Tribolium castaneum: one gene and its partner. The protein of the gene in region 2 interacts with the protein of the main gene of each other region in a biochemical or structural test. Links are inferred from orthologs where the notes say so. Each region holds a gene or a part of one and is shown on either strand. Other genes may lie near its edges. The genes, in order: sau and Mhcl.

Region 1 (9,409 bases), on a different chromosome or scaffold from region 2:
TGACTCCAAAATAGAAAGTGAAAGGATCAGGTCCTTTAATTTGTTTGCTTAGAGTTTTGGCTGGGTCGAGCCAGTGCTGGTTGGGACAAACGCTTTGAATAGAATTTGTCAATTAAAAAGACTTACAGTTTGTCCGGTTTGGTCTAAATATCGCAAGCCGAAATAGGCCGTTTCGAGTAGATTTAAATTGCGAAAAACGACGTCGAGTAAAGCTTGTCCGGTGCAAGAATCCTAGAAAAAGAAAGTGTGAAATCGCGAACAATGAATAAAAAGATTTCTCTAAACCGATAAATATAATCAATTAGTGGATGGTCGAAAGTTGATTGTTCGCGAAGCCTTGAGTTCAAGTCGAATTCATAATTTTGTGCAATGGTATATAATCATGAAAACGTCTGTACGGTTTTGAATATTTTTCAACCGCAAAGCGGGATCGAGGGCAGGAATAATTACGTGTGTCTAGACACCAAATTACTACTTTGAGAAATTTTCTTAAATCTGTTAGGCATTAATTGTTAAGCCGCGCCCAAACATTTTATCACGCAATATTGTTTCATCGGCGAGCTGAAAATTATTGAAAATAAAACTACAGACGTGTCACTGACTCACGATGATGTAACAACAGTGACCAAAACGGTCATACTCACTTCGATCTCGTGAATTAGCTCTTGTTCATCCAAAAGAATTATTTTGCAGTGGATTACTCTCGGTTTCGAACAAATACAGTCCATACTAAGTAAAAACCTGAAATATAACATAAGTCGATAAGCAATTAATGGATGCGCTAATGGATATAATCTTGTGAAGAATTGGCCGCTGTCTTATTTTGGCGCGATTTTTTACCAAACAAAGACAACTCTTATTCTGATATATTAAGGGCCATTATATTTGCCACTCTTTCTTGACAATGGGATGTAGTTGTGAGTAGGTGATAATCGAGTTCAGTGACTTACGAGGGTGGACACCACAGTCTTAACAAATTACGCAGCTTATTAACCAGACAATAAAAATAATCCTCACTGAAAATAACCACACGCGAGTTATTTGAATAAATTTCGTATGCGTACAACAGTCATGTTAACGTGCACTGATTACAATATACCTCGTTAATTTGTTTATTTTATCGAAATTTTTGTTGGAATTTGAATGATGCCACCTACATCCGTTACACACATTAAAGAGTTTCGACGTGAACAATATTAGATTATCGGAGATAAAAAATGATGCTTTCCACCCGACATCGCCCCACATTCTTCTCCCAAAACCTTCTCAGGATGCAGGTTGAAATAGGCGGCCATATAGTCACGAAATTGCTATGCATTAATTATTTTCGGCCCCGAGCTACAAAATAATTTTAGTCCACTAGTCTCGAAACTCTTTCGGGTTTTACAATATCGTAATTAATCTTCATGATCCTAATAATACGTTTAAACAACACTCGAAATACCATCTTGAGAAATAAGCAATTTTTCCCGGCCTGGCGTTTTACGAATTCAAAAATGTTTCCCATTTCAATCATTTCATTAATGACTGTCTCCAAGAAGCTCAGTTACGAGCCACTTTTGCATAATTCAATTAAGCCCAGCCGAATCGTGCCACAATTTTCAAACGATTGAAACTTAAAAATTAGGAAAAATTCCGGTGGGAAACACAAACCACGGAAGTGGTTTTCAAACAGAGCAGCTGTGACCACCAAAACCGAAACTTACAATTCACCAAACAAAAAATGATTAATTTCAAGCACAAACGGAACGAAATTATTAATTGAGTGAGTTTGATGATTGTTCTAGTGTGAGTTGACCCGCCTCCGATGTGTTAAACAATGAATTTTTGCGTGTGTGCTCGCACACACCGAATGAAAGTATCATTGTCTTACCTGGAGTGGCCGTGAAAATAATCCTCAACTCGTAATAAATAAAATCAATTAATCATCGTTATTAAAATATAACTCAACATCACTCCACTGCACTAGCAATATACAGTTAAATAGCGATGTACATCCTAGGCCATTCAACTTTGAAGTTCAGTTTTAAATCAAGGTACAGGTAAGAACAGCACACCACAGAGACCTGCTTCTAACTACAGAAGAGAACAACCGACCCATGGAAATTGACACGGTAAATTGCTTACATGCTGTTCGGTTTACGAATCGTCTTGGCAAGTGAAGAGGTGGGAAAACGGGTCTAATTTACTGATCTGTAAAATGATTTCTGGGCCCAGGTAAGCCCCCATCGGGTCCCAGCCCTACTCCTCGCCGTTTCCGGTCACCGGACACGAAACAACGCAATATTTTACTCGCCGTCAACCGTTAGCGGCGTCAAATTCCCGGTAATTAGTCCAGTTATACCAGATTTGATTAGTTGCTAATAAAAAGTTGGAAAAGAAACGTGGACTCATTTCCTCAACATCCGATGTAACTGGTTTCAGTCAACCGGCAAACTCCGGAGGGCTATTAAAGGCCTTGCCGCCACCTTTCAAACCATCTGTTTTGCATGAACAAAGACGGCTTCACCTTTCCGAATTCGGTGTGGGTGATAATTGATAAAATATTCGCAAACTAATTTCATTATAATCCCGAATTTGCAATTAAAATCTTGCGAAAAATCCGAACAAAGGCGAAGTGAACGTTCGGCCTCTACAACCTAATCTCGTCCATTTTTAATTCAAAGTAGTTTTCCGTGAGTGCAAAACAATCAATTAAATAGGCACCCGTAAATCTCGCTAATTAAGTGGAAATAGTCCGAGTGCTTTGTCTCTGACCACCGTGACCCAGCGGAAGTTTTTTCATCCTGAGAACCGAATTATTAAGCCAATTAAGCAGGATATCATCGCTAGATTGGTGTTACGGTGTCGGAAAGATGCTAGATAGCAATGAAAGTCATTGCTCGATAATTATTGGTTGCCTAGTCGTGCAAAAAAACAAAAGAAGAGGCATAAAAATCCGACGTGTGATTGGCTAAGCATGACCAATAAGGCGACAGCAGATGATTTATTTGTTCATTTACCAATCGTCTTTGATTATAATTACTCTTTGTTTCTCGCATTCTCGCAAGATAGCGATGCACCGGAAGTTGATAATTCCATGAATGTGATTATCTACACCCACTCGGACGCCACTTTTTATTATCAACGTTGGCATGCTTTGGCAATTAACTGCGGTTCTGCGATAAGAAAAGGTAAATAAAAGTCGGAGTTATAAATATTGATACAACTTTATTTTTATAAAGAAAATGGGAATATTTTAATACAAATTAAGGCTAACTCCTGCAATGAGAGTAGAATTATAATTTATAAAATAATAATAATTAGGTAATATTTGACATACATGAACAATACATTTAGTTCGAAGTTATGTACAAATAAAAGTTGGAGTACATAGTTTCCTGATGTCCGAAGCCTCTAAACATCAACGAAGCTAAACACCCTGTGTATTACCACTGAAACTGATTATCCTAGTCTAGCCTGTGTACTCCACATAGAAAAAATTTCCAATGTACAAACTAACATCACATTAAATACAAAACTGATAACTTCAATATTTCAACGTAATTTATTTATAGTTAAAATTTAGTAGCAAAAACAGTTTATTTTCATTTCGTGAAAGCGGCGAAAACGGCCCACAGTACCTCCGAAGTGTTTGGTTTGACTGATTCTTGCTCAAAGTCCAAGTCAAGTAACTCTCGTACTCGCTTTATTGCCAATTCGTAGTCGTCGTCATTTAGGGGCGCAAAAGCGTTCTCCAGAACGTCACTAGCATGGGCCAGGAAAATCAACGCCAACATCCGCTTGTCCATGCGCTGGGGGTCGTTCACCCACTTCGTAAGTACGGCATCCTGGATCTGAAAAAGCGGTTTTTTACCCCAAGCCCTCCGCCAGAAATTCAGACACACTTTGCTTAAATTCAAAATAACAAAGTATTTCCCGATCTCTAAAGGGCAAACAATAGTTAACTTGCTTTGCTGCCGAACCAGCTGAAATTTTGCATACATACGTAACCTCCGTGCTATTTAGTTTAATAAGTTAGTTAATTCTGTTAGGATTTTTTAAGACGAAACCAAACCCTTTTTTCCCACAGGAACTAACATATTAACAAGCTAAAATTCATACATACGTAATTTTGTGACATTACAATAATATATACATTATTTAATAATTTGTAAATAATTAACAATTGTAATTAATTTATCAATATCCTGGCCTTTAGTTGAAAAATGGGAATGGGACCAAATCAATTCCAAGTAAAAACACAGTACCCAAAAAATTTTTTGATGAGTTTTTTACATATTTAGCATTATTTTTACGCTTAGGTTCATTTAAATACTTATTAGCAATTCTTTTTCTAAATGAATAAACACTAACTGTAATAAAACATTCCTTTTCCCAAGGTAAAACACCGTATCTACAAAATGTCTTAGAGACAGTCAATCGTAGTCCATTTGTTTACGTAAAAATAACTCATATAGGTGTAAAAAAGAATACATTTATACAATAATATAACTTTTAATCGAACTTTTAGTTTATTATTGGCAATCTATTTTGCTTATTTAAAGCACACAGCAGCACGTTTCTTAAAGTGTCCATGGCAACATTAATAACATAATAACCCAAGAAAAGTGAAAATAAATACTAACTTTTTTAACATTTTTTATTAAAATGATAATCAATTCCATGGCAACGAAAGGTAAACTGATCTCACATTACATTATTTTCAATATTTGTAATATCAATATTTATGATTTCAAAGTGTACCAATAAAAAAACTAACGTAAAGTATTCATGTATAACTCTTTTACGAGCACTCCGGCTACGCCGTCGTGCTCGACAAATCCTGCATATTTTAAATACCTCAATATCCACTTATACTTTAATATCACGTTGTTTTAGATAATTTAATACTCACGTCTTAAACTGTCCTAAAAAAACGATATTTTTAAGTTAAACAATATGAGTAAAGAGTTAGTCATTCAAAGAGGCCGGTTAAATAAGTATTTTTTGGTCTACTGAAAGATTAAAAGCAGATACTGCATTTTAGTTCAAGGCAGTCGAATTAGAGACTAGTATTTTCCAAATATTTGTTATGCACAATCGGTGTCGAATATAATTTACACCAGAGAGTGTAAATAAATACAATAAACTATTCAATAAATAGGAAAAAATAAAGAAAAGGTGAAGAATAAGTTTTTTCTCAGAAACATACATTTGTGCTTATATCTTACAATTTTAAAATTTATAAAAGCTTTGGGAAGGAGTATTGCATAATTACCTCAGTTACACTCTTTCAAAGCTTTTACAAATTTTAAAAACTTAAACTATAAGCAAAAATGATATTTTCTATATACGACGATATAGACTACCCAGAAAACTTAACTAAAAAAAGTGAAGATTTTGAAAGTTGTGGACATAAATACACTTAATTATGTAAAAACGTAACGAAAACAAAAAAATAGAAATGAAGACAATGTAATTAGGGAATAATTCGCAAGTGTAAGTCGTATACTCTTCTTAGTACTTTACCTGCCTATCGTTAAAGTTCTACTTGATCTACTATTTAGTAGAACGGGGCACCCTTTACCACCTGCTGTATCAAAACGTACCTTTTTTATTAAACGGCTTTTGGTGACGTTATCGGTCAGAGGGTGCGTGGTCATATCAAACAGCAGAAAGTTTTGCTTCTCCGTTGTGAGAACCCCCTTCTCGACGAGGTTTTTCGCTAGGCGTTCCCGCACGTTCTTCAGCTGGTAGCGCAGTTTGAGGGGGTTCCAAGTTTCGCCTTAAAAGCACGCAATTAAGTGAACCTGGGGGCAGAAAGGGGCATTTGGAGCATACCGCTGAGGTACTCAATCCAGCTTTGAACCGTTTCTGGTGGATCTGTTTCCTTGAGATGTTTTAAAGCTTCATCTAGGAGGACGTCTCCGGTAGGTGTGTCGTTTTTGAGGATAAGTTTGCGGGTGAGGAGCGCCTTTCGGCGCATACCAGCCCGCTCGAGTTCCACACGTCCACGTAAACCTAACTCGATTAGAATACACCCCCGGAGACCGCTCGAAATGCAGTCGTTCCAAAACGATGTGTAACCCTTAAAAACGACACGGTTAGGTGTGGTGAGCACACGGGGGGCGAAGCCCTACTTCTTTGTCTTTTAAGCCTAATAATAATACTTCTTCCATTAAAGTTAATCGGGTTTCTTTGGAATCGCCCTCGTCTATGTCTTCGTCGTGCTCCTGCTTCTTCTCATTGTTCTGCGATTCTTTCACACCTTCACCTGAGTCACGTATTATGTTTCGTCTTTGCACCAGCCCTTCACTCCGATTCATTTTAATTAAATATCAAATAACTTATTTATTTTCTACAAGACTTGACGTTTAACTGACTTCCATCAACATGGCAAATGTCAAAAGCATGTAGGCTGCTGGCAGAAAACCACTCCGTCCGAAAAATCGACAAATTCGCTCACTTTCTAAGAAAATTATTCATTTCTAGTATTTAACAAACTAAACTAACCCTTCAAGCCTTTTTTTTGGATAAAAAATCAAAAATCGGGAAAAAGTGATTACGTCCTACGATTACGTCACGCTCTTATCAATTCCAATTTAATCCCTTTGTACAGAAAATCTAACAATGCCAAGTAATCAGCACCCACAATTTTTATGATTTCCCCACCACGGGATTTTTTCAAGTTTGGAAAAAATTGTTGTCGAATGGGTTGCATAACCCACCGTTTTTAACCTCACTTTTTGCCACCACATTATTTTATTTAAAAATGACCGAAAGTGATAAAGCCGAAGTTTTCAATTTTTTATTGGAGACTGGGTGTTGCAAAAGGTGCGCTTTACGCTACGTTGGCGATAACACAGCCGATTATGATAATCCACAGGTAAAAAAAAGTCGTATTTTCAACAATTAAAGGTTTTTTTTGTAGCAAAACGGACACGACCAGTTGGCGAAAAAGACGAAATTGAATTCGTGCATAATTTGTCTCGATTTGCTCCAAGATGTGACTCTTGAATCCATGGTTCAGTGTGAAGAACTGGAGGGTGTTAAGGAGTACGATTGCAAGACTTTTATTAATTTCATTAGTTTTCCGGTTGCTGTTCTAATAAGGGAACACAGCATGGAGATTCATATGAATGAGAAGTTCCCCAAGTTTTTTGAAGGTTGTTTGGTTTGCTTGTTGAAATAGTTGAAATGCTTACATTTCAGATCGTAACATTGTTCCAATAAACAGGGCATGGTCCTTGTCAATACAAAACAAACTGGGCGAAAAACTTGGCAAAAAGTTCAATAAAGATTCATTGCTCCAAATCCAGTTTAACACGACTTATGAATTTGAAAAAGAGGTAACGAAAGGACTAACCACTGCTTGTTTAAAAATTAATAAGTTGTATTAGGAGTCGTCAATTATGTTTCTGATGGAAAGTAGACTGAAAAAATCAAATGGACAAAACGAGGGTCTTAGTCGTAACGTAATCGGGGAGTTTTTAAAGACAATAAACACCGAACTTTTCAAAAAACATGCCGCTGTCCCTCCGGAACCGCCCGGGAAAGCTTTAAGTTTCGACCAAGTGGCTTACAAGCACGATTATATTTTTATAGCCGGAAGGTACTGTAAATATTCAAGAAACCTGTTTCAAACACCGTGGGCCAACGACGAAGTCCAAGTAATCAACAGTTCAGTTCAAGAAATTTTATTTAAGTCGCTGGAAAGCGTCTTTAAGTGAGTTTCATCCCTAGTTTTTGTTGTCGTAATTGTGTAACTCCAGATGCAGCAGTTTGGTGTTTTCGTCAAGTGGTCGTGAGGATTTTGACGTACGAATGCTAGGAAGAGGCCGTCCGTTTTTCGTAAAAATATGTGACCCCAAAGTCACCACAATACCATTTGAACAATTCCGCCTGATTGAGAAACAAATTGAAGAAACTAATTTAATTGAAGTCAGAGACTTGCAATTTATTTCGCGGAAGTTGCTTAACAATATCAAAGAGGGGGAACAATTTAAACAAAAGACGTACAGGGCGTTGTGTGTCGTAGACAAGCCGGAAAAAATTGGCGAATATATTGAAAAAATCAACAACATGAAAAGGGTGAAATTGCTACAAAAAACGCCCCTGAGAGTGTATCACAGGCGGTCGGCTGACGTCAGGGAGAAGGAGATTTACAACATGGAGGCAAGGCCGGTCACAGGTAGAGCGCGCTCCGAAAAAATAATAATAACTGATCATCTTAGTACGACTCATAGTCGTGAAATTATGAATAAGTTTGACCTGTTAATTGATTACGGTTGTTGTAAAATTTGTAAATATTTTGATTGGGCGGTTTGAGGTCGGCCATTAAAATTACGGAGAAAACCAATCCCTTTAGGTTCCTTGGTTCATTGAGAAATTAGATTTTTGGATATGATTGGTCCGTTTGAGGTCGGCCATTAGAATTACGGAGAAAACCAATCACTTTAGACTATTTTGATTCATTGAAAAAAATATTTTTTTGGATATGATTGGTCCATTTAAGGTTGGCCATTATAATAAAGTGAGAAACCAATCACTTTGAATTTTTGGACTTATTCATTATTATTTTAATTGAATGTTTAGTTTGACAGCTGTCAAAAAATAAACGATGTTTTTTTAAACGGCTTTAATGCTTCCCTAAGTCAAAAGTTAAGTGAAAAAATCGTCAGCAACTCATCTCAATTGCAAAAAGTTTTGTTTATTTATTGTTTTTTACCTGAAAATTTCGTTAAAAAAATTACGTTGAAGTTAAAGTTTTGCCAAAAAGACTATGAATTTAGGGTGCACTTCTGCTCTATGAACGCGTTATTATTGAATAACTTAGGTTCCTCGGGACGTATATCACTGCCTTTTTTGTGTCTAAATACTCTGATTCAGAATTCATTTCTCATTGAAAGAGACATACTGCACGTATCACAAAAATAGGGTAATAGTTAAAAATCAGCTTATCGTACACATATTTTAATAAAAAAGGCGTTCATAACGAAAAAAATAATTTGTGGAGGATACAACACGTACTATAATTTTATGTAATTTACTGGATATGAGCTTAAAGTTGGATCTAAAGTTAGTTCTAAACTTTTTTTCTTTGAAAAATGCACTGCAACCACAGCACAGTATTTGATAGTTGTGCCAACGTTGAAGCCGTGACATGTTCGTTAAAAAAATCTGCACGTGGCAGATTAATTTTGAAGATTTATTCAAGGATTTTTCTTTTGTGTTAGTGGACGACAAGTTTTGACGCCTACAATAAAACATAAAACCGCAAGTTTAAAGAGTGGCCAGCTATTCCACTCAGTGTTAAAATATGTACAAATTAACAGTACCAATAAGTAATAGACAAAAATACTGAAGAATTTGATAAAAAGTCAAAACGCAAATTTTTATATAGACATTATTTTTTCACGAATAGGTA
Region 2 (9,352 bases):
GTTAGCATTCCCTATACCTATCTGTGATAATTTTCAAGTTATGTTGGTTTTTTTGACATTGTAGAAAATTTCTTACTAACCACAGCTATTTTTGCATAGTTTGCCTTGAAAACATTTCTGATTAAACAAACGACAAACTCTCCTCAAAATTGTGTTGTCCGTCGTGTGAAAACAAAATAAATTCATTTAAAAAACTTTAATTTCTCACATTTTTTTCTCTCGTTTCCATGGCAACCTATGAGAAAATTGCTCAATCCCAACAAAAAGTTATTGTAACTTGAAAACTATTAAACATAAGTATAGGGAATGCTAATACAAATCGATGCAGAATTAAATTCTCTACGATTTAATGAAATAAAATTTGTGGCATTTCATTTGAAAAAAATGAGTTATGGGTGTTTAAAGTTCTGAAAACTTAACTTTAAAAATTTTGGGTTTGTTATTACTTTTTAGAAATTTGAAAACACCAAAGGAGAGACCTAAGCTTCCTCTTTCAAATGAGCTAAAAAATATTTCCAAATTTTTAGAAATGGCAGAGGTATCGATTTTTGAACTGGAAGGTGCAAACCCAAAAAAAAATTAAAAACCTAAATATTTCGTAAACGGCTTAATTTAGGTATAGGGAAGGCTTATGAAAACTACCTTAATAAATAATAAATAAATAATAAATAACTCAAGTAATCCAAAAACGCAATAAAAATCTAGCTTTCCATTTGAAATAAGCAAGTTGATAGCGACTTCCGGTATAGCCGGAAGTGCCACCATCTCGAAGATATTTTCATTGTGCAGGACCTAAGAGATTATGGTTGTATACAAATTTTCAAATGACTACCAATGTGGGGTTTAGACGGAACACCTGTAGTTTTACTGAACTTTTTTTAAATTTTTTTGTAGAGGAGCTGGGACGTGTTATGCGTTCGTTAGGCCAATTCGCCCGAACCGAAGAATTGCAACAAATGCTCCAGGAGGTGGATGTTGACGGTGACGGAAATGTCAGTTTTGAGGAATTTGTTGACATTGCTTGGTCAGCGGGCGCTGGAGGTGACCCCGAACATGTCCTCTCGAGGGAGGAGGAAGAGAAGGAATTGAGGGACGCGTTTAGAGTGTTTGATAAACATAATAGAGGGTATATTACCGCCTCCGATTTGAGGGCGGTTTTGCAATGTCTTGGGGAGGACCTTTCAGAAGAAGAGAGTGAGTTTTATTTTTCAGAAAAACGAAAAACGCTTTATTTTTCGTTTTTTTTTTTTTTAGTTGAAGATATGATTAAAGAAGTCGATGTTGACGGTGACGGCCGTATAGATTTCTACGGTACGTTTGGCTGAATAAAGTTAAATTTTTAACAACTACATTAATTTTTTTTCAGAATTTGTCAATGCTCTGGGAGAGCCGGGCACCGAAGACAGTTACGACGACGAAGACGATGAAATAATCGGTTATTAATTTCTAAGTGTTATATCAATGTATGAATCATATCGAATTTTTACATCTGGATGTGATGTTTTCTCTGAATTTGCTGTTTGCAATAATCGTCTATTAAGGGGGTCCATAGATGTCGAAACTTCTTGACGGGTATATGGTAGCCAATTCTACAAGCTTTACAATTGGGTGATACATTTCAAATTTTTGTGTTTATTTATTTGTCGAATTAATGCTTATTATATTGTTTGAATTACATGAAATAAAACTATTCGAAACAAAAACTGAGTTAATATTTTGGGGGAAAGATATTATTTTTCATGCTTCTGCAATTTTTGTTTTGTGATTAATATTCTTCTTGTCATTAGTGTGGCTCCTGGCGGTCCGTTTTTGGACATAATTTACATAAAATACCTTCGCCAATTTTTTAGCAATTTTTTCAATCACCCATAACTAATTGTTACCAAATTTTAATCGATTTTCTTGCATTTAATTCACAAGAATTGGTTCTGATTCGGTATTTATTTCAAATTTTATCACCAGAATGACAAAAACGTCGTAAATCAACTCGTTATTTAATGGGCGATTATTAATCTCAACTATTTGAAGCACTCACTCGCTATCGCTCGTCCGTGCTTTAAATTACTCAACGCCTTCATCAAATAATTACTTAATTAAATAACTATTAATTATTGACTCTTTAACGCTAGCGTATTTATTTTTATCGGCGATAAATTCTACAAACTGAGATAACCAAAAACCTTATCTGTTGACTTTACCAAATGGAAGCGTTTGATTTACACAATTCACACCAAAAAACGTGATATTTCAAGCACTAACCACCTTCAAAATGGGGCTTTTAGTAAGGTAGGGGCTCACATTACAAATCACATTTCCACTTAATTACTTTTTTTAAATAAAGCGCTATGGCACTTGACAACAACTCCTCACAAACAATGGTAAATTTTTTTTTAATTCATTCATTTTTTCACCAAACAAACTTAAATTTTAGCCACCGCCCATCGAATTAAATAATATGCAAGCAGAAGAGGAAAGAAGGCTTCGTCAACAACCAGTAATTGACCAACAACCGACTCGATCCGAAAATTACACAGACCCTGATTGTGGAAATTGTTGCATATTTTGCATAACACCAACTCATCATCATCACCACCATCATCACGATGACTGTAATTGTTGCAAATGTGATTGTTGTTGTTGTTGTGATTTATTAGTCTGCGGAGATTGTGATTGCGATTGTGACTGTGACTGCGGAGATTGTGATTGTGATTGTGATTTCTAAATATTAAAAAAAAATAAAACAAATTCGAGTGTGAAATTCGTTTTTTTTATAACCAAATAATTTGTATTCATGGATTTTTCTCGTTCGAGAAAAACATTGAAAAAAACTGTTTAAAACACATTTTTACTAATTACTAATTAGTCATTAGAAATAATTAATTAATTAATTTTAATTATCACTTATCAGAAATTGTAGAAAAGTTCAATCCCATACAACTACTTAGTCCACCATAAAAACAAGCAAAACCACGACCTTGTATTCGTTAAATACTCGCAAGTTTTTTAACAGTGCTGTCTTTCTTTACTTGCGTCATGAGTTCTACTTAGGTAAAAATTTTTTACAAAAAAAAAATCCAGCTGAAAAACAAAGAGGCAACAGGTCAGCGATCAACAACCGCCTAGTAGTGATTTTTTCACAGCGTAGTAAATAAACATTGAAGCCACCACAAGGACTAATTATAAAACGAATAAAAACGAACAATACCGAAATTTATTTTCGTCAATGTAAAGTAACCAGTTTGCCCAACGAAATCCCGCTGTATTTGTTTACATAATTAATTTCCCTCAACATGGGTATCTGTGTCAGGTAAATAAATTCCAGTCATACAATTAAATTTAACTAATTATTTTTTGTATCAAGTTCCGTAATCCCGTCCAACAATTCAGTCCAGGTAAGCCATACATCATACACAATTATAAATTTACTTAAATTATCGATGACTCAATTATGATCTATTCCGATAGCCACCACAAAGTGTTCAAGAAATTGTACAACAACAACCGAAAAGAACAACAAATTTCGACGCCGACGACAACCCTCTTGTAACAGCAGGTTGTTGTATGTGTTGTCTCGATCCGAATTGTTGTTGTGATTGTTGTGATTGCGCTGATTGTGCGATGTGTCACTGGTGTTTCTCTTGTGATTGTTGTAGCGAGTGTAACGAGTGCTGTGGCGACTGCCTCAAAATGTGCTGTTAGCACGGTTTTTTTTAAATTTTTTGTATTTTTTAATAAAAAAAACATCCACAAACGCTTATTCTTCATTCGACAAATAAATATTATATTTAATAAACTACATAATGTCTATTTTAATGTTTAACTTAACTGTTTTAAACTGAAATCTTTTTCAAATTTCTATCGTCATTTATTTTAAAAATACAAGGCTAACTTGATTTTTTTTAATGGCACGAAGGGTCAAATTTTATCATTTTTAAAAGAGCCTTTTTTCCTGAATTCAGTGATGTTACATAATACCCACCCTTACTTTTATTAAAAGGTAAAAAAATTAAAATTCAAAAATTTTCTGGAATAGTAAAACTAAGTTAGCTTTGAAAATACTGCTGTTAGCAATATGTCACTCGTATATTAGCCAAAAAATAAACTTGGGTGCAATAATTTGTTTAATAATAGAAAACTGAACGAAAAAAAATCCTCATGTTGCTTTATCAGAGTCAGAAAGCCAAGAAGTTAGTGGAAATCATTTTGATTATCTTTTGTGGCATAAAAATCAAATATGTAATTTTTTTTTTAATTAAAACGTGTTTCTTTCAGTTAAAACTGTTATTTTTAACTTTTACTTATTTTTTGGTTAATGTTCAAACAAACTAAAGATAAAGACAAAGTTTTCAAGGCTAACAAAATTTTGCATTTTTCAAAATTTTCGATTTTTTTTTTTAAGTTTCGATTAAATTAAGGTATGTATTACATCATAGAACCCAAATATATTAAATTTGACCCTTGTTGCTATTCAAAAAAAATCAAGTTAGCCTTGTATCCGAAGAACAAATGGAAATAAAAATTTAATAAACATCTGAAACGATAGGAATTACGTACACTTTAGCATACACCAAATTTCAGTAAGTTTGGATGAACAGTTTTTATATTATTTAACTGTATCCATACTTTTTAGCGTCCCTGTATGTTGTAGGAAAATCTATTCCGGAAATACACTTATAAGAAAACCAATTTTTTGTTAAAAGTCAAATTTCTTAGTTAGCTTTGATGGCGTCACATATGGCAGCTCATTTGCTCACCAGGTGGCGCTACGTGTCATAATAATTGTAAAGGCCGTCTTGGATACAAGTAGGTCATGATACGAACTAATTGTCAAAAACATAAATAATTAAGAATGATGGCTAATTATTCCGACAGTAACCATAATTCTTAATGACTAACTTTAGCTTAAGTACTTAGTAGACCATAAAATTTAAGTACACAATAAATTGTGCTGGAGAGTTGTAAAATCATGTAATTAAAACGTACCTGGCATTCGGAGAGTCTTATCACCTTATCAGTACGGTCACAGATCACTAATAGTCCGAAATAACACAAATTAACCGATAAACACACAATTCGAACTTGTTAGCGTCACTTCTGTCAAAAATGATTGTAAAAAGTGTCGCCAACATAAAATACAATGGCGTTTTTTTAACAAAAATAATTAATTCCAGTGTTGTGCAAACTTTTATATAAGAACAAGACTTGCTTTTAGCCCCTTCCCAATAATTCCAAATGTAATTATGATTAAATTGGCAAAAAATTGCAAAAACTATTAGTTAGCAAGTCCCTTCGCTGCGTCGCTGCGTTCGCTTCGACTTTGACACTTGAAAAAATTCCGTTCCTAACCTCAAACCAGCCGCACTATGTGACAAAAGTGTGTAAAAACGGCCGTAACAATGTAAAAACAGCCCGATTAATAGCCAGTATAATAGCAAAAAAAAGTGTAAAAAATGAAATCCAAAGTGCAACTAATTTCGCAAATCAAAAAAGAGGTGAGTTTTCCGCCCAAGTTTCCCTCCCACGGAAAAACCCCGTAATAAAATCTAATACGATCGGTCCGATGAGTGCGCGTCGAAATAATCCATAAATATTTACGTTGCGAGATAAGGAGTGAGTTGTATTCGGGGTAATGTTATCAGTGATGAAGGTAGAAAGGTTGCGTAAGTCGGCACTAATTGCATTTTTCACGTTTGCAGCACCGGAAGACTCACATGCATATACCCCTCATTTTCGTGCTGGTCTCCACACTTGTTCTGTCAGTGCTGTCCGTCACTGACCTCGACTGGGAAGATAGAATTTCGATCAAAAGGGGCTTTTCACTGTTTTGTTATGGATTGGTGTTTTTCACCGTTTTGTACCTCGTTAGCAACAACCTGATGTTGCGGACGTCGCTCGGACAAAAATTCGTACGGACGTACAAGCTGGCGCCAGCGGATGTCTTTGATATTAGCAACAAGTAAGTGGCGAAAATTTCCCACAAAAACACCATTTCGACTAAATTTGGACGAAATTGTTAAATTCTGACCGGTAGGGAAGTCGTATCATAAATATTACAAAGTGTTTTAACATAGTTTTTACGCCTAAGGTATGCAACCAGCAATACATATTACATAAGAATTGCCATAATTCGTCAAATTGATGACTAATTTGTCCAGCAAGCACTCTAGATAATACAAAATGCGCTTAGGATTTTGTCGTTCAATGTTTTTTTTTTTTTTTTTTTGGAGGAAATTCAGTCATGATTTAAATATTTTTGTGTGTTTCAATATTTCACAGGCGATTTGATAATAATATTTTGTAACACTTCTTTATAAAAATTAAATATGTAATAATATGTAAGAGGTAAAAAATTATAAAAGAAAAAGAAAAAAGAAACAAATAAACAAGGACTTGCAAGTTTGTTGGCCTGTGCAAAAAAAATATTTCTACTTGAATAAAAAAATAAAAATAAAAAAAGAGAAATTTAACATAATTTTCGGTTAGTTTTTAACAAAATTTTGAGAAGTTATTGTGTTTCTGAATGATAAACATGTTAAAAATGTCATATGCAACAGAATTTAGTGATTTTTTTTAAACAAAACCACTATTATTGAACTAATAATGAATTTTTTGACTTTGTTTTTTCAAAATTTTGAGAAAATTTTGCGTCCGATTTAGTAAACTTTGACTAAGAACTGCGAATTTGGTTTTAAAATATGCTTGGACATTAAAAAAAGATAAAAATACTACAATTTTCTACCAAATTTTATGTTTTTTACATTTATTGTTTCGATTAAAAACCAACTGAAATCGAATGAAACAAACAAATTTTTTTAAAAGAGGAAAATATAACATGTTTGGTTTAATGTTTTTATTTGCACTTGTTTTTAACAAAATTTTGCGAAATAATAATTACGTTTTGTTTGGAAAACGCTCGAAAACGACACAAAATCATGTAATTATTATCTTAATTTAGCAAAATCCTCACACAAAACTAATAATCTCGTTTAGAAATACAATTTTTTTCAAGGTTTTTTGATATTTTTTTGCATATTTTGACGAAATTTTCGAGATTTTCCGGCTTGTTCTAATTTAAAATAAATTGATGAATTTTCGAAATTTTGCGAAATAACTCATAGTTCTTTGGTAGCTATTTTTTATTTATCTTAAGCCTGCGAGAACAAGCATGTTTTTACTTTGCAATAACGCGTAGGGACATTTATTACTTATTTTTTTCCAATCTAGAGCAAAAAATTTGCAAGGAGTGCATTAAATTGCTCATTTGGGAATTTGTATTTTCTAAACAAAAAAAATGAGCTTCGGAGTTTTTAAGAGGCATTTTAGTAAAAAAAAAATAGCACAAGCGTGTCATTTCAGACAAGTCTCATCCGTCCAAGTGGCTTAATTTGTGCGAGAACAAGCGTTTTTGTACTTAACAATAACGTCTAGGGACATTTATTTTTTATTTTTTTCCAATCTACAGCAAAAAATTTGCAGCACGAGCGCACGGAGTGCCTCAAATTGCTGGTATGTTGCAAAAAAACTTGTCATTTCAGACAAGTCTCAGCCGTCCAAGCCCTCTTCTGTTGCATCACGGGCCTCACCAGCTGCACCTATTCCTGCACCAGAGACATGCTCCACACCTCTCACTACATCTCAGAGGCATATGCCTGGTTTGGTGCTGCGTATTTTTTCTACGACATTTGGTCGATGTACAAAGTTCACAATGCCAAAGTTGTGCAAGCCAGCATGAATGGCGATGTTAAACGAACAGGTGTTAAATTTTTCAGCTATTTGAAAAGTCATGCTGTCATCGTAGGACATCACATTTTTATCGGTGGCTTTGGGTTTTTAGTTATAACGGTTGGTAGTAATTTTTTATGTGTGACATTCTATATAATGCCAAATTCAAGTATTTGAGAGGTGGCCTTGGTGATTGTTTCTTCGGATTCGTGTACCTGATGGAGGCTAGCACTCCTTTTGTGTCCTTGAGGGGCATTTTGTCAAAGATCGGCATGAAATCGTCCATTTTGTACGTAATCAATGGCCTTGTGATGTTGGGGACGTTTTTCGTCTGTAGGGTGGCAATGTTCCCCTGTGTGATATACTTGTACGCACGCAGCGTCGACTTGGATTATTTTTCCGTAAGTTACATTCTGCGGAATAACCCTGTATTTCACTACTATTGGTTATACAGGGTTATTCTTTAAAATGCATTTTTCTTTTGTTTACAGGCGATTCGATCGCTGCCGACTGGATGTAAGGTGAGCATCGTGATCCTGTTGCTGCCGCAAGTGTACTGGTTTCTGTTGATGGTGAAAGGAGCCTCCCAAGTGCTCAAAGGCAAAGTGACCAAAAAGAAGACATTGAAGATGCATTAACTAAGACTTGTAATCCGAGCTTAGCGCTTTAAATAAATATTACATATACGATTTGATGACCAGAAAAAGACGAATTTACGTGGATATTGCTATTTCTGGATAATGTTTAACACGTCGCATCAATGTCGTTATTACTGTGATTGTTGATTATTTTGTTTATTTATTGAAATGGGTTCGTGCTCGATTCAAAGACTTGTAGTATTTTTTCGCATTTCGCACCAATTTTCGTGCACAAACTTGTTGGAAACGTACCTTTTGTAACTTATTAACATTTATTATTGTAAATGACTGTTTTATAAGTCACTAAGTGTAGGAAAAGATAAAATAAAGCGATATTAAAAAGTCGTGTTTTAAACAAGTCTCCCCTTACCTTACAAAAACAAACAGTAGAATAAACACCACGTGACTAAAAAAAGTGGTAAATAAGTGCATAGATAAATGGAATTAAAAAGTGGTGAAATTTAATCCGTCGTTAAAAGTTAAGACGCTAATGGACCAATCACATTTGTTCAATTTGGTCACGTGATCATTTAATGGCGGATTAAATTAATGACGTTTCTACAAACCGGTCCCTAGAGTCAAAAACTTCAGTGCTATTTATAGAAACGCAAAGGGGGCAAAATTTGAGGATAAAATAGCCCTCCTAGTGCGTGACGTCTGTTCAAATTTCAAATGCCTACGCCCCCTTACTACCAACCCAAGCAAACGCAAATCCCCGATTAAAAAAACGAAAATTAGGCCTTATTTCAGCGTTATAATCATGAATTTGGTACAAAAACACTCGTTTGTGTTTTGCAACGTTTGAAAATCACACCCCGTCCAGGAATTGGCGCAAAATCGTAAAAAATTTGGTGACTTTTTTGTGCAAGATGTCGCCACAAGTGCATTTGACGTTTCAAAATATTCGCACAGGCATCCCGAACTGATATAGCCAAATCAAACCCTCACTGAAATAGGTTTTACTGATGATGCGGATAGATGGCCTTAGTGTT

What was found.
Region 1: the proteins of Mhcl (region 2) and sau form a complex in vitro, tested with the Homo sapiens proteins (2 studies listed by IntAct). The link is inferred for Tribolium castaneum from reciprocal best matches to the Homo sapiens genes MYO18A and GOLPH3.

What each region holds. Positions count from the first base shown.
Region 1 is NC_087403.1:8,420,163-8,429,571, forward strand, and holds sau (Golgi phosphoprotein 3 homolog sauron), read right to left. Parts: upstream 6,309-9,409; coding exon 6,123-6,308; intron 6,071-6,122; coding exon 5,824-6,070; intron 5,768-5,823; coding exon 5,592-5,767; intron 3,837-5,591; coding exon 3,588-3,836; 3' UTR 3,191-3,587; downstream 1-3,190. Other genes in the region: band 4.1-like protein 4, read right to left, coding at 1-76, 127-231, 645-741, 951-1,016, 1,100-1,248; tRNA pseudouridine synthase Pus10, read left to right, coding at 6,755-6,868, 6,914-7,148, 7,195-7,331, 7,383-7,708, 7,755-8,173. UniProt on the Homo sapiens protein: Phosphatidylinositol-4-phosphate-binding protein that links Golgi membranes to the cytoskeleton and may participate in the tensile force required for vesicle budding from the Golgi.
Region 2 is NC_087401.1:16,437,904-16,447,255, reverse strand, and holds the start of Mhcl (unconventional myosin-XVIIIa), read right to left. Parts: upstream 5,082-9,352; 5' UTR 4,991-5,081; coding exon of another isoform or gene 4,984-4,990; intron 1,704-4,983; exon of another isoform or gene 1,444-1,703; coding exon of another isoform or gene 1,367-1,443; intron 1,312-1,366; coding exon of another isoform or gene 1,255-1,311; intron 1,195-1,254; coding exon of another isoform or gene 895-1,194; intron 1-894. Other genes in the region: calmodulin, read left to right, coding at 895-1,194, 1,255-1,311, 1,367-1,443; TLC domain-containing protein 3A, read left to right, coding at 5,451-5,492, 5,697-5,956, 7,536-7,842, 7,893-8,123, 8,214-8,360.